Drosophila melanogaster: one gene and its partner. The main gene of each other region encodes a partner of the protein of the gene in region 2 in a complex. Each region holds a gene or a part of one and is shown on either strand. Other genes may lie near its edges. The genes, in order: cal1 and cid. A codon is read from its position in the direction of its gene.

Evidence for each region.
Region 1: the proteins of cid (region 2) and cal1 are in contact, whole or in part, in a crystal structure (PDB 6XWS), measured with the Drosophila melanogaster proteins. Residues at the interface, in NP_523730.2 of Drosophila melanogaster: Lys150 (codon at 1,076), Ser154 (codon at 1,064), Arg158 (codon at 1,052), Pro169 (codon at 1,019), Leu170 (codon at 1,016), Arg171 (codon at 1,013), Val172 (codon at 1,010), Thr173 (codon at 1,007), Glu174 (codon at 1,004), Gly175 (codon at 1,001), Ala176 (codon at 998), Leu177 (codon at 995), Ala179 (codon at 989), Glu182 (codon at 980), Ser183 (codon at 977), Met186 (codon at 968), Tyr187 (codon at 965), Gln190 (codon at 956), Arg191 (codon at 953), Asp194 (codon at 944), Met197 (codon at 935), His201 (codon at 923), Val209 (codon at 899), Arg210 (codon at 896), Leu214 (codon at 884), Met215 (codon at 881), Ile218 (codon at 872); in NP_650597.2 of Drosophila melanogaster: Ala4 (codon at 4,264), Val5 (codon at 4,261), Val6 (codon at 4,258), Asp7 (codon at 4,255), Thr10 (codon at 4,246), Met14 (codon at 4,234), Arg18 (codon at 4,222), Ala21 (codon at 4,213), Trp22 (codon at 4,210), Lys25 (codon at 4,201), Phe29 (codon at 4,132), Glu33 (codon at 4,120), Asp34 (codon at 4,117), Gly35 (codon at 4,114), Met36 (codon at 4,111), Glu37 (codon at 4,108), Ile38 (codon at 4,105), Asp39 (codon at 4,102), Val40 (codon at 4,099), Phe43 (codon at 4,090), Asp44 (codon at 4,087), Leu46 (codon at 4,081).

What each region holds. Positions count from the first base shown.
Region 1 is NT_033777.3:17,086,577-17,092,674, reverse strand, and holds cal1 (chromosome alignment defect 1), read right to left. Parts: upstream 4,396-6,098; 5' UTR 4,274-4,395; coding exon 4,193-4,273; intron 4,136-4,192; coding exon 1,277-4,135; 3' UTR 737-1,276; downstream 1-736. Other genes in the region: cher (cheerio), read left to right, coding at 1-388, 451-635; GckIII (germinal centre kinase III), read right to left, coding at 4,949-6,098.
Region 2 is NT_033778.4:13,483,700-13,487,213, reverse strand, and holds cid (centromere identifier), read right to left. Parts: upstream 1,598-3,514; 5' UTR 1,524-1,597; coding exon 846-1,523; 3' UTR 583-845; downstream 1-582. Other genes in the region: cbc (crowded by cid), read left to right, coding at 1,930-2,022, 2,091-2,643, 2,734-3,241, 3,310-3,427. UniProt on the Drosophila melanogaster protein: Histone H3-like variant which exclusively replaces conventional H3 in the nucleosome core of centromeric chromatin at the inner plate of the kinetochore.

The DNA of each region.
Region 1 (6,098 bases), on a different chromosome or scaffold from region 2:
GCCGGCGTTGGCACGTTGGCCGTCTCCATCGATGGACCCTCCAAGGTGGCCATGGACTGCACAGAGGTTGAGGAGGGCTACAAGGTCCGCTACACCCCGCTCCTGCCCGGCGAGCACTACATCACGGTCAAGTACAACAACATGCACATCGTGGGCTCGCCATTCAAGGTGAACGCTACCGGCGACAAGTTAGCGGATGAGGGCGCCCAGGAGACGTCCACGGTGATCGTGGAGACCGTGCAGAAGGTGGCCAAAGGAGGCAAGAACACGGGCGTCCATCTGCCCACCTTTAAGTCGGATGCCAGCAAGGTGGTGTCCAAGGGTATGGGCCTGAAGAAGGCCTACATTGGCAAGCAGAACCAGTTCAGCATCAGCGCCACCGATGCGGGTGAGTAATATTCATACCCATTTTAAACTTGATGTTATAATATATCCTGCTTTTGTTAAAAGGCAACAACATCCTGTACGTGGGCATGTACGGACCAAAGGGACCCTGCGAGGAGTTCCACGTGAAGCACGCTGGCCACAACAACTATAATGTGCAGTATCTGGTGCGCGATCGCGGCCAGTACGTGCTCCTAATCAAGTGGGGCGAGGAGCATATACCCGGCTCCCCATTCCAGATCGATGTGTAGGGCGCTATATAGCCGGCCAGGCATATGTGTACGTGTAGATATATGCTTCGCATGTGTATGTGTGTGGGCGCGCATGTTCCAGGGTCAAAAGTCGTGTGTTTCTTGTTTTCATCATAACGCTCTTTGTTTAATTTTAATTTCTTGATTTATCATCATATTTTAGGTAAGTTTTTGTTATTTGTACATACATGGAAGGAAGAAGCTTCTGTTTTTCGACGCGCCATTTTCACTCTTTAAATTGATCTTACGTTTTATTTGTTTTCTTGTGAATACATAAAATTAACAATTGCCGATATGAATTTTGATAGACTTCATGGAAACGAACTAAAGCACAACTTCGACACACAAGAATTACTATTGCAATGCGAATAAATCTCTTAAACAATTATTTAATACTTAAGCGAAAAATTTATGATGATTAAAATGATTATGACGTATTATGTTTTCTATTATCACTATCGATCATGTAATTTACGTGAAATAAATCAAAACACAAAAAAATGAACTAAATACAACTTTTCTTATATAATTTCTTTTGCAAGGACGTGTTTAACACCACCAAGAAATCCGTCATGTACAACCAAAACATGAACCTAATATATTTAAAAAATAGGTCTGAAATATGAAACCTAACTACTTAATTACTTGTCACCGGAATTATTCTCGAGTATGCTGTACACCGTTCCATATCGATTGATTTGCTCGAAGATGTCATCATCGCTTGCACTTGAGCCCGAGATGTTCCCGATGTTCTGCGCATCCTGCGGTGCACTGAGAGCTGCGGCGAGTTGGGGAGTCGGCTGATAGTAAACCGAGTGTCGGCTATCAAAGCTCCGACTGCCGATGTGGTACTTCAGGTACTTGCGGGCCCAACGTTCTCCAATAATCTTTCCGAGTCCCTGCTCGGTCAGTGTGAAGCTGGCGCCTTCCGGCGCGGAAGGGCTGTGCAGCAGAATGCCGCGCTTGGTGATCTTGATGGTCGCTGGAATCTCTTGTCGTTCACTTGCAGGCGGTTCGCAGCCAGTGGTAGATGTAACTACAGTGCAGTCAGGATCCCCGCCTGTGGGGCTGCCCATCTCTTCCAAACTGCTCGTTGGGGAGCTCGAGCTGTTCGTCGCTGTCTTCTCCTCCGTAGTGCTAACAGCGGCTGCCCTCTTGACTCCTCGTCTCTTGGGAAGCACGCGGTAGCAAGCCGTGTCGTTGGCCAGAGCTGTGGAGTTGCACGCTACGCTTTGATTGTTGAATACCGTCATTGATTTCTCTGCAGGTGATTGGGGCTGCTTATTAGATGGCTCCCTTTTCGTTTTTTTGCGCTTCTGTTGTTCCTCCTTGTAGGTGGCCTTCGACATAGCCAGGGCTATTTGCAGATCATCCTCCGAGTTTGATGCCCCATCACCACCTTGCTTTAAAATGCTTGCCGTAGTTGAACATTGTGGTTTAGGTTTTGCCAGTACTTCTGATGATACATCGGACTCCTCTTCCCTGACTTGCTCTAACTTCGAAGTCGAAGTCACAGAAGAAGTTGTTTTCGTTTTTTCTGACTTTTTCAATCTCGAAGTAGACGGTTTTCCGGTCGCACCTGTCTTTCTAACTGACTGCTTTTTTGCCTTAGCTGCAACTTGTTTTTCAGATAAGGTTTCAGTGCTGTTTTTTTCCAGGATTTCGTTGTTAGTAATAATACTCTTTGGAATTTCGGACTTTTTACCAGAAACCCTTTTCTGTTTGGTAGACTTTTCAACGGCAGTCTTAGTCGATGAGTTCTCCATGTGCATGAAATCCTTATTTCTGTCGTCGAAAGATTCTCTTCCAATACAATTATCCACTTTTTCCATAAGACTCGATGCCTTTTCGTCAGCTATAGGGATTGTTGATATCAGCTGCTGTAATTCATTTCCGTTGAGTGGTGAAGTTTCCCTAATACCCCTCTTAGGCGCTTTCTTTGCTGGAGATTCAAATGTTGCAGATGTACCACTTGATCCGTCAATAGATACGCTTTTCATATGAGCAACTGGAAGATACGTGGATTCAATTGGAGAGTTCGTTGCAGTCGGCCCTTCTTCTTGTATTTGTGCCAAACCATTGGGACGCGCTTCTTTTCTTATAGCCTTCTTCGCCGAGGAAGTAGGATGGGTAATCTTACCAGCGGCATTTGGAGTTGGAAATGTCATTCCTTTTTTTTTATCCGAACAGCATAGCAATCCTTTTTTAGCCAAGGCGTTATCTTCATCGGAAGACTCACTATCAAACATTTGCATATACTTTTCTTTCGATAAGACCAATTTGGAAACAGAGGTAGCTTTCGAACTCAGTGGCTTTTGTTCGTGACCTTTGGAGCATACCGGTTGATGACTAACTTTCCTGGCATCCATCGGTTGGTGCTTTTGCTTCCTAGTCTTTTCCTGTGTCTCCTGGGTCAAATGATTACTTCTGTTCTCCACCACCCACTCTTCGGTTGAGCTATTGGCAATGTGAATGACATTGGAGCATAGGCGGTCACTATTGCAGCAACTACACTCGTTCTCTGGCAGCCTTGGTCTCAAGTCCATTTCCATATCGAAGGTGTGTTGGCGGCGCATGGTGTGCATGGTTCGAGATGCCATCTGACGGTGGTGATACTCGCGTTGACCTCTGCCGTACGGGCAGGACTGGTAGACACTTCTAGACAGAGCGTAATGCCTCCGGCAGGAGTGGCAGTCGCAGCCGCCGAATGATGTATCCTCCTCGCTGCTGGATGCCGAGTCAAACATCCAGGAGTTTATGCGCCGCTTACGCAGATTCTTGCGTCTCATATGATGGCCGCTGGAGTAGACGCATTGCATCGGCGTAGACGCCAGATATGCAAGCTGGCGCTCCCTCTCACGTCGGCGAAGCAACACGGCCTGCATGTGGTGACGATGCTCCTGCTCGTCACCATAGGCGTACTTTGCCCGCAACTCGTCTCGTTTGTGAGAGTGTTTACGGTACATCTTAATGGTGGTCATGTTCTTGTTGGTCATGTGAGCATTGCGCCGACGACTCTGCTGGATGTAGCGAGCCGTGTCGATGGAGTGCATCGATTCGTCGCTTTCGTCTGAGATTGAGTTGTGGTGCGGTGGAAGGTACTTTGGTGGTGAGGCCTCCAGGTAGACGCTGTTGTGCCTTCGCATCCAGCGGCCCACATGGTGTTCGATCTGCTTTTCATCAAAAGTGTCCAGAATGCGATCCAGTCCCGCCTCCCGCCACTTGCGCTTGTGCTCCTCGACCACCGGCACCGTTTGATTAAGGATTTCCTCGATCTCCGCCTTTGCCTCGTTATCCTCATTGGCGCAAAGTATAAGTGTCAGTTCTGTAACGCTGGTGGCGTTGATATGGCCCATTTCAAGCTTTGCCTCGTCGGGCACATTGTCCTCCACAGCCTCCTTTGCCACGTCATCCAGGTCGGGGTCCTCGTCCTCGCCGTGGAACAAGTTGTCGAACTCGGCCACATCTATTTCCATGCCGTCTTCCAGGCTGGCAAAATCCTATAAAACAATATCGTCCATCAAGAAGAGACGCCACTTGGGTTTCTACGGACTCACCGCCATTTTACTGGACCAGGCCTTAGAGCGCTCGTAGACCATTGCCTCCAGTGTTTCCTCGTCCACCACCGCATTCGCCATGGTTATGTAGTTATCAGTTCACGGAATACTTGATTAAAATTTATAAAAACTAAAAGAAATCTTAAAACACAAAAATAAAGAGTCAACAAAAATGGCGTTGCCACTGGTGTTACCGTCTCCAAGGCGCCAAAAAATACACCAAAACGCGACTTAACTAAACACGTCCCATTTTTATTTATATAAAACAAATAGAAAACTTGGGTTCCTCATTTCCAATAAGGTCGTTTTGATGTTCTATTTGCACGGCTTTTTGATTATAATTATTATTTATTTAACGATATCCTGTTTATTCAATTTATTTATTTTTTTATTTACTGCATTTTTCGCTAGCGTCCAGCGTTGCCAGATCAAATGAATACTCGGAGTCACCAATGATGCCAAGTTCGCATTAGCGCGCCAAAATCGAATTGTTTATTTTTGTGGGGTTTTTATTTTGAAGTTATATATGTTTTACATTAGATTAATATTGCAGATAAACAAACGAATACATATTATATGCTTAAATAACTGTTCAATTGAAATACATGTACATCGCTCCCGGTCCTCTGTTGGCCACTAAATGTCGGAATATGTCTGCTCCAGCGTTTCAGTTTGTGTTGTCTCGGTGTCGTTAATAAAGTTGTGTATATATTAAAATAGGCTGCTTGGAATCGGAATTTGCTACGGCTTCGCCAGCTACTTGCGGTTGCGTATGGCGCGGTCCATGATCGTATTGATTCGCGTCTCCGAGTAACCAGGAACGAGCATGTGGATCAGCTCTTTCATAAATAGGTCGCTCACTCCCGGACTGGAACGTTCGGCCAGCTCGAACACAGACTTCAGGTCGCCGATGTCGCTGCCGACGCCTATGTTACGGCCGCCTGATCCTCCGCTTCCTGCAGATCCTCCGCCGGAGTACTTTCGCTGGATGTCGCTCAGCACGGGGAAGAGGAAGTTGTTCAGACAGGCGCTGTTCGTTTGGACTAGGCGTTGTCCCGCCCCAGAGTGCTTGACATGGCTGGCATGGTTGGTGGCCACATGCTCCTCGTGGCTGTGGTTGTTGCTACTGCTGCTGCAGCTGGCAACCAGCGCGGCGTTATTTGCATGGAATGATTCACGTTGGCTGCTGCGGCGCTGTTGCTGCTGCTCAGCCGTCGATGGAGTCGGAACCGACGACTGCAATGGCAGGCCCAAAGAGGCACGGCGATCCTCTACTTGATCCAGAGGGGCGGCGGATCGCGACTGGCGCAGCTCCGGCTTCGAGCTGGAACGCTTCTGCTGCAGCTCACTGGCCGACGACGAGCTTGTGACGCTGCTCGGCGGAGGAGCTGCGTTCAGCATGGTGGTGGTGGCATGCTTGTTGCTCAAGTTTCTGATGTTATTGTTGTTAATGTTGTTGTGGTTGTGGTTGTGGACGTGACTGTTCTGGGGGGGCAGGGCGGATGCAGAGGAGACACCTTCGTTGGCTGTAATGACCGATACGGAGGAAGCTGACGCCGCCACGGCGGACACAGAGGACGATAATGCATTTGCAGCAGGGGACGCTTGCACGCCACCACCGCCGGCTGGCGAGTGTGTGGTCTGCATCAGCTTCTGCATGGTTAGCTCGTGCTCCTGCAACTGGAAGCTGTTGACACCCGCCCGCGGAGCACTGTTGATATGCAGGCCCTTGACGGTCATGATCCAGGGCTCATCCTGGCTGCTGCCGCCCTGCTTGGCGTCCGAGTCCGAGTCAGAGTTCTCAGACTCCGTCTCACTTTCGTCGCCCTTGGAGACCTTCCACTTCTTGAAGCGGTCGATCAGGTCAATCAGATAGGCGTTCTTCTTGGCCTTCTTGATGAACGGG
Region 2 (3,514 bases):
ATATTTAAAGAAAATAAATACCTATATTTTGTATGATTGTGTAAGTTGTAATATATCTAGACAGCAGTACTTTTACTGCGCCCAATTAACACATGTGCAAATGCCAAAAAGAAAGCAGAGCCGCCAGCCAGAAAATAGCTTGACGAAAGCTCAACTTACGTTTAAGTCCTGTAACCACCCATTGGCAATCGATCCATCCCACGAAAGACAGCAGATCAAGTGCGAGCGCAGTTGCCACATTCAGTTGAGGCCAGTATCTAAACTATCTATCTATTCATGTTACTCGTTTAAGTGCTTAGTTCTCTATACATCGAGGTCGTCCGATGGGCCGCGACATTCTAAATGGTGACTCATTTCAAAAAGCGCACTACCTACCTTGGACTAGGCCCATAATTTAAGTGCGTTTCGCGTGACTACATCTTATGCATCCTAATCCTAGCTGAAACCCTATGTTTGTAGCTCGCACGGCGCTGGCCGGCAACTTTATAGTTAAACTATTATGGATTATGTTTTATGTTGTACATGAAAATGGAGACGAAGCAAGCAGCAAGAACTAGAAATAAAACGAAATGCTATACGTATCTCAATGACATGTTATTTATTTGGTGAAGTTCATCCCGATTCTTATAAAAATCACGAGTTATTTGAGTGAATTGATTACTTTGAACCATTTGAGTGAAATTAACAATCTTGTCGAGCAAAAATATTTATTTAAAGCTAATTCTAATTGGTACAAAAAGGGGGATGTAACAAACTCTTTGAACTTTTCATTACGTAAACACTACAATGGATATACACAACTATTCAAACAAATAACTAAACTAAGCCTAAACTTCTCTTTTGGACTAAAATTGCCGACCCCGGTCGCAGATGTAGGCCATCAATGCCATGTCGCGCACCTCCAGTGTGACGCGATTGCGATGCTTGGTTAGCATGTAGGAGTCGGCGAGCCGCTGCGTCAAGTACATCTCGCACGACTCCTGCATGGCCAATAGGGCGCCTTCGGTGACCCTTAGCGGCTCGTCGTCGCTGTACTTCACGATGAACTCGCGCACTAGACGCGAGAACGGCAGCTTGGGTATCAGTGTGCCGGGATGGTGCTGCAGTCGCCGGATCTCACGATCCATTCTCTTGGCTCTGCTCATGGGATTGGCCGCTTTGCGCCGCCTGGTCTGGTTTTGCGCAGCAACTGGCCCTGCTGCTCGCGTTTTGCTTTCCTGCTGCACGGTCATTCGACGCGTCTGCGGCGATCTGGTTGTGGGATAGCGATTCTCCTGGTCCTCCTCCTCGCCACTGGTGGAGCTGTCTCTCGCTGCCGGCTGCCTCCGTCCGGCGTCCCTGCGCAACGTCGAGGAACGCCGATTGTTGTCCTGAAGCGTCAGTTGGCTGGTGGTGAATTCGAGGCCGTAGTCGGTGCCGTCTTCTGGCTCCGGCGAGCGGAAGGCCGTGTCGTCGTCGTTCGGCGACTTTGAGTTGTTCGCCGACGGCCTGGGTGCGCGCTTGGCTCTGCTGTGTCGTGGCATTTTCAAATTTTCGGTATTTGCTTAAAATATTTTTAAAGAATTCCCGCTTTTTTGGAACAGTGTGACCGTATAAAGCAAAGCAAATAATGCCCAGTACCGATACCGATTTGAATGGGCACTGACTAACTAAATATATTTCTAGCAGTTGAGAATTAAAATATGTTTATTTATGTGACAATTAATATTAATGGGAATACATGGTAATTGTTTAAAGACGTCCAGTACTTTAACTTATTTTGCAGTGATCATTTATACCCCTAGAAATCGATTAATTACTACTATACAGGTATCGATCAATTCCCATCGTTAGTGCACAGCTGATGTGAAATTGTTTACCTCCTAAATTTTTGGATAATTACCCTATTTCGCCATTAAAACTCATTAGCAGAGCACTGAAGATACAGCCATGTCGGAGGACCAAGGCAAAGACTACACACTGGAGTCCGACTCCGAGCTGCGCTTTGAAATCGAGCAGAAGGATGCCAAAGTGCTGGTGTCCGTAAGTAGTGCAAAAACCTTTTTGGATTACAATAAATTCGTTATTTATAATCAAATTGTTGATTTCAGCTGGTCAGTGGATTTGCGGAGCTGTTCGGCACGGAGCTGGTGAAGAAAAAGCAGTACGAGTTCGGCGTGGGCGCCAAGGTGGCCATCTTCACGTACCAGGGCTGTGTACTCCACGTCTCCGGCAAAATGGACGTGTGCTACATCTCCAAGGAGACGCCAATGGTGCAGTACGTCAACTGTCATGCGGCACTGGAGCAGTTCCGCATGGAGGCCGAGGAGAAGGATCGCTACGGACCAGTGGCCATGGTCGTCGGTCCCATGGACGTGGGCAAGAGCACTCTGTGCCGCATCCTGCTTAACTATGCTGTGCGCGTGGGTCGTCGACCGCTGTACGCCGACCTGGATGTTGGACAGGGCTCGATTGCCATTTCCGGGAGTGTGGCCACCATTCTCATCGAGCGACCGGCGAACGTTGAGGAGGGATTCGCCAAGACAGCGCCGCTGGTCTATCACTTTGGCCATAAGTCTCCCAGCGGAAACAGCGTGCTGTACAATGCCGTGGTTTCCAAAATGGCAGAGGTAACACTGCAATCTCTGAATAGCAACAAGCGAAGTAAGTTGGGAAGGTGTAACACATATCTTTGCACTTTTCAATACATTTTCCCGTTCATAAACTGCAAATTTCTGCATCTGCTTTTTGCAGCAAAAAGCTCTGGCATTATTATAAACACTTGTGGCTGGGTAAAGGGATCCGGCTACGCGCACCTGTTGCACGCGGCCAAAGCCTATGGAGCCTGTGCCATCTTTGTTCTGGACCAGGAGCGACTATACAACGAGCTGCTTCGAGATGTTCCCAAGGGAGTTCATGTGGTACTGCTGCCCAAGAGCGGCGGCGTCGTCGAGCGCAGCAAGGAACTGCGACACGAGGCGAGGGATCAGCGCATCAAGGAGTACTTCTACGGCAATACAAGGGCGCCCTTCTATCCGTTCAGCTTCGAGGTGAAGTTCCAGGACCTGCGACTCTACAAGATCGGCGCACCGCCGCTGCCCGACTCCTGCATGCCAATTGGAATGAAGGCGGAGGACAACAAGACCAAGGTGGTGGCGGTTACACCCACGCCCGCCCTAATCCATCATGTGCTGGCCCTCAGCTTTGCCGAGTCCGTGGAGGACGATGTGATTGGCACCAATGTGGCCGGCTTTTGTTGCGTGTAAGTGCTGCTGAACCTAAACTAGATATTATACTAGTTATATATGATTGTTATTTGATTATCCTCAGAACCGAAGTGGATATGGAAAGACAGGCAGTGATGTTGCTTTCGCCGCAGCCGCGACCTTTGCCCCCGAACGCCCTGCTCCTGTGGTCGGAACTGCAGTTCATGGATAATCATACCTAGCATTTGTAAATGCTCTGCTCTAGATGTAATTTAAGAAATTTTATATTAATGTTGGCGTTACAAAAAATACAGTTTAGATGTGCAAGT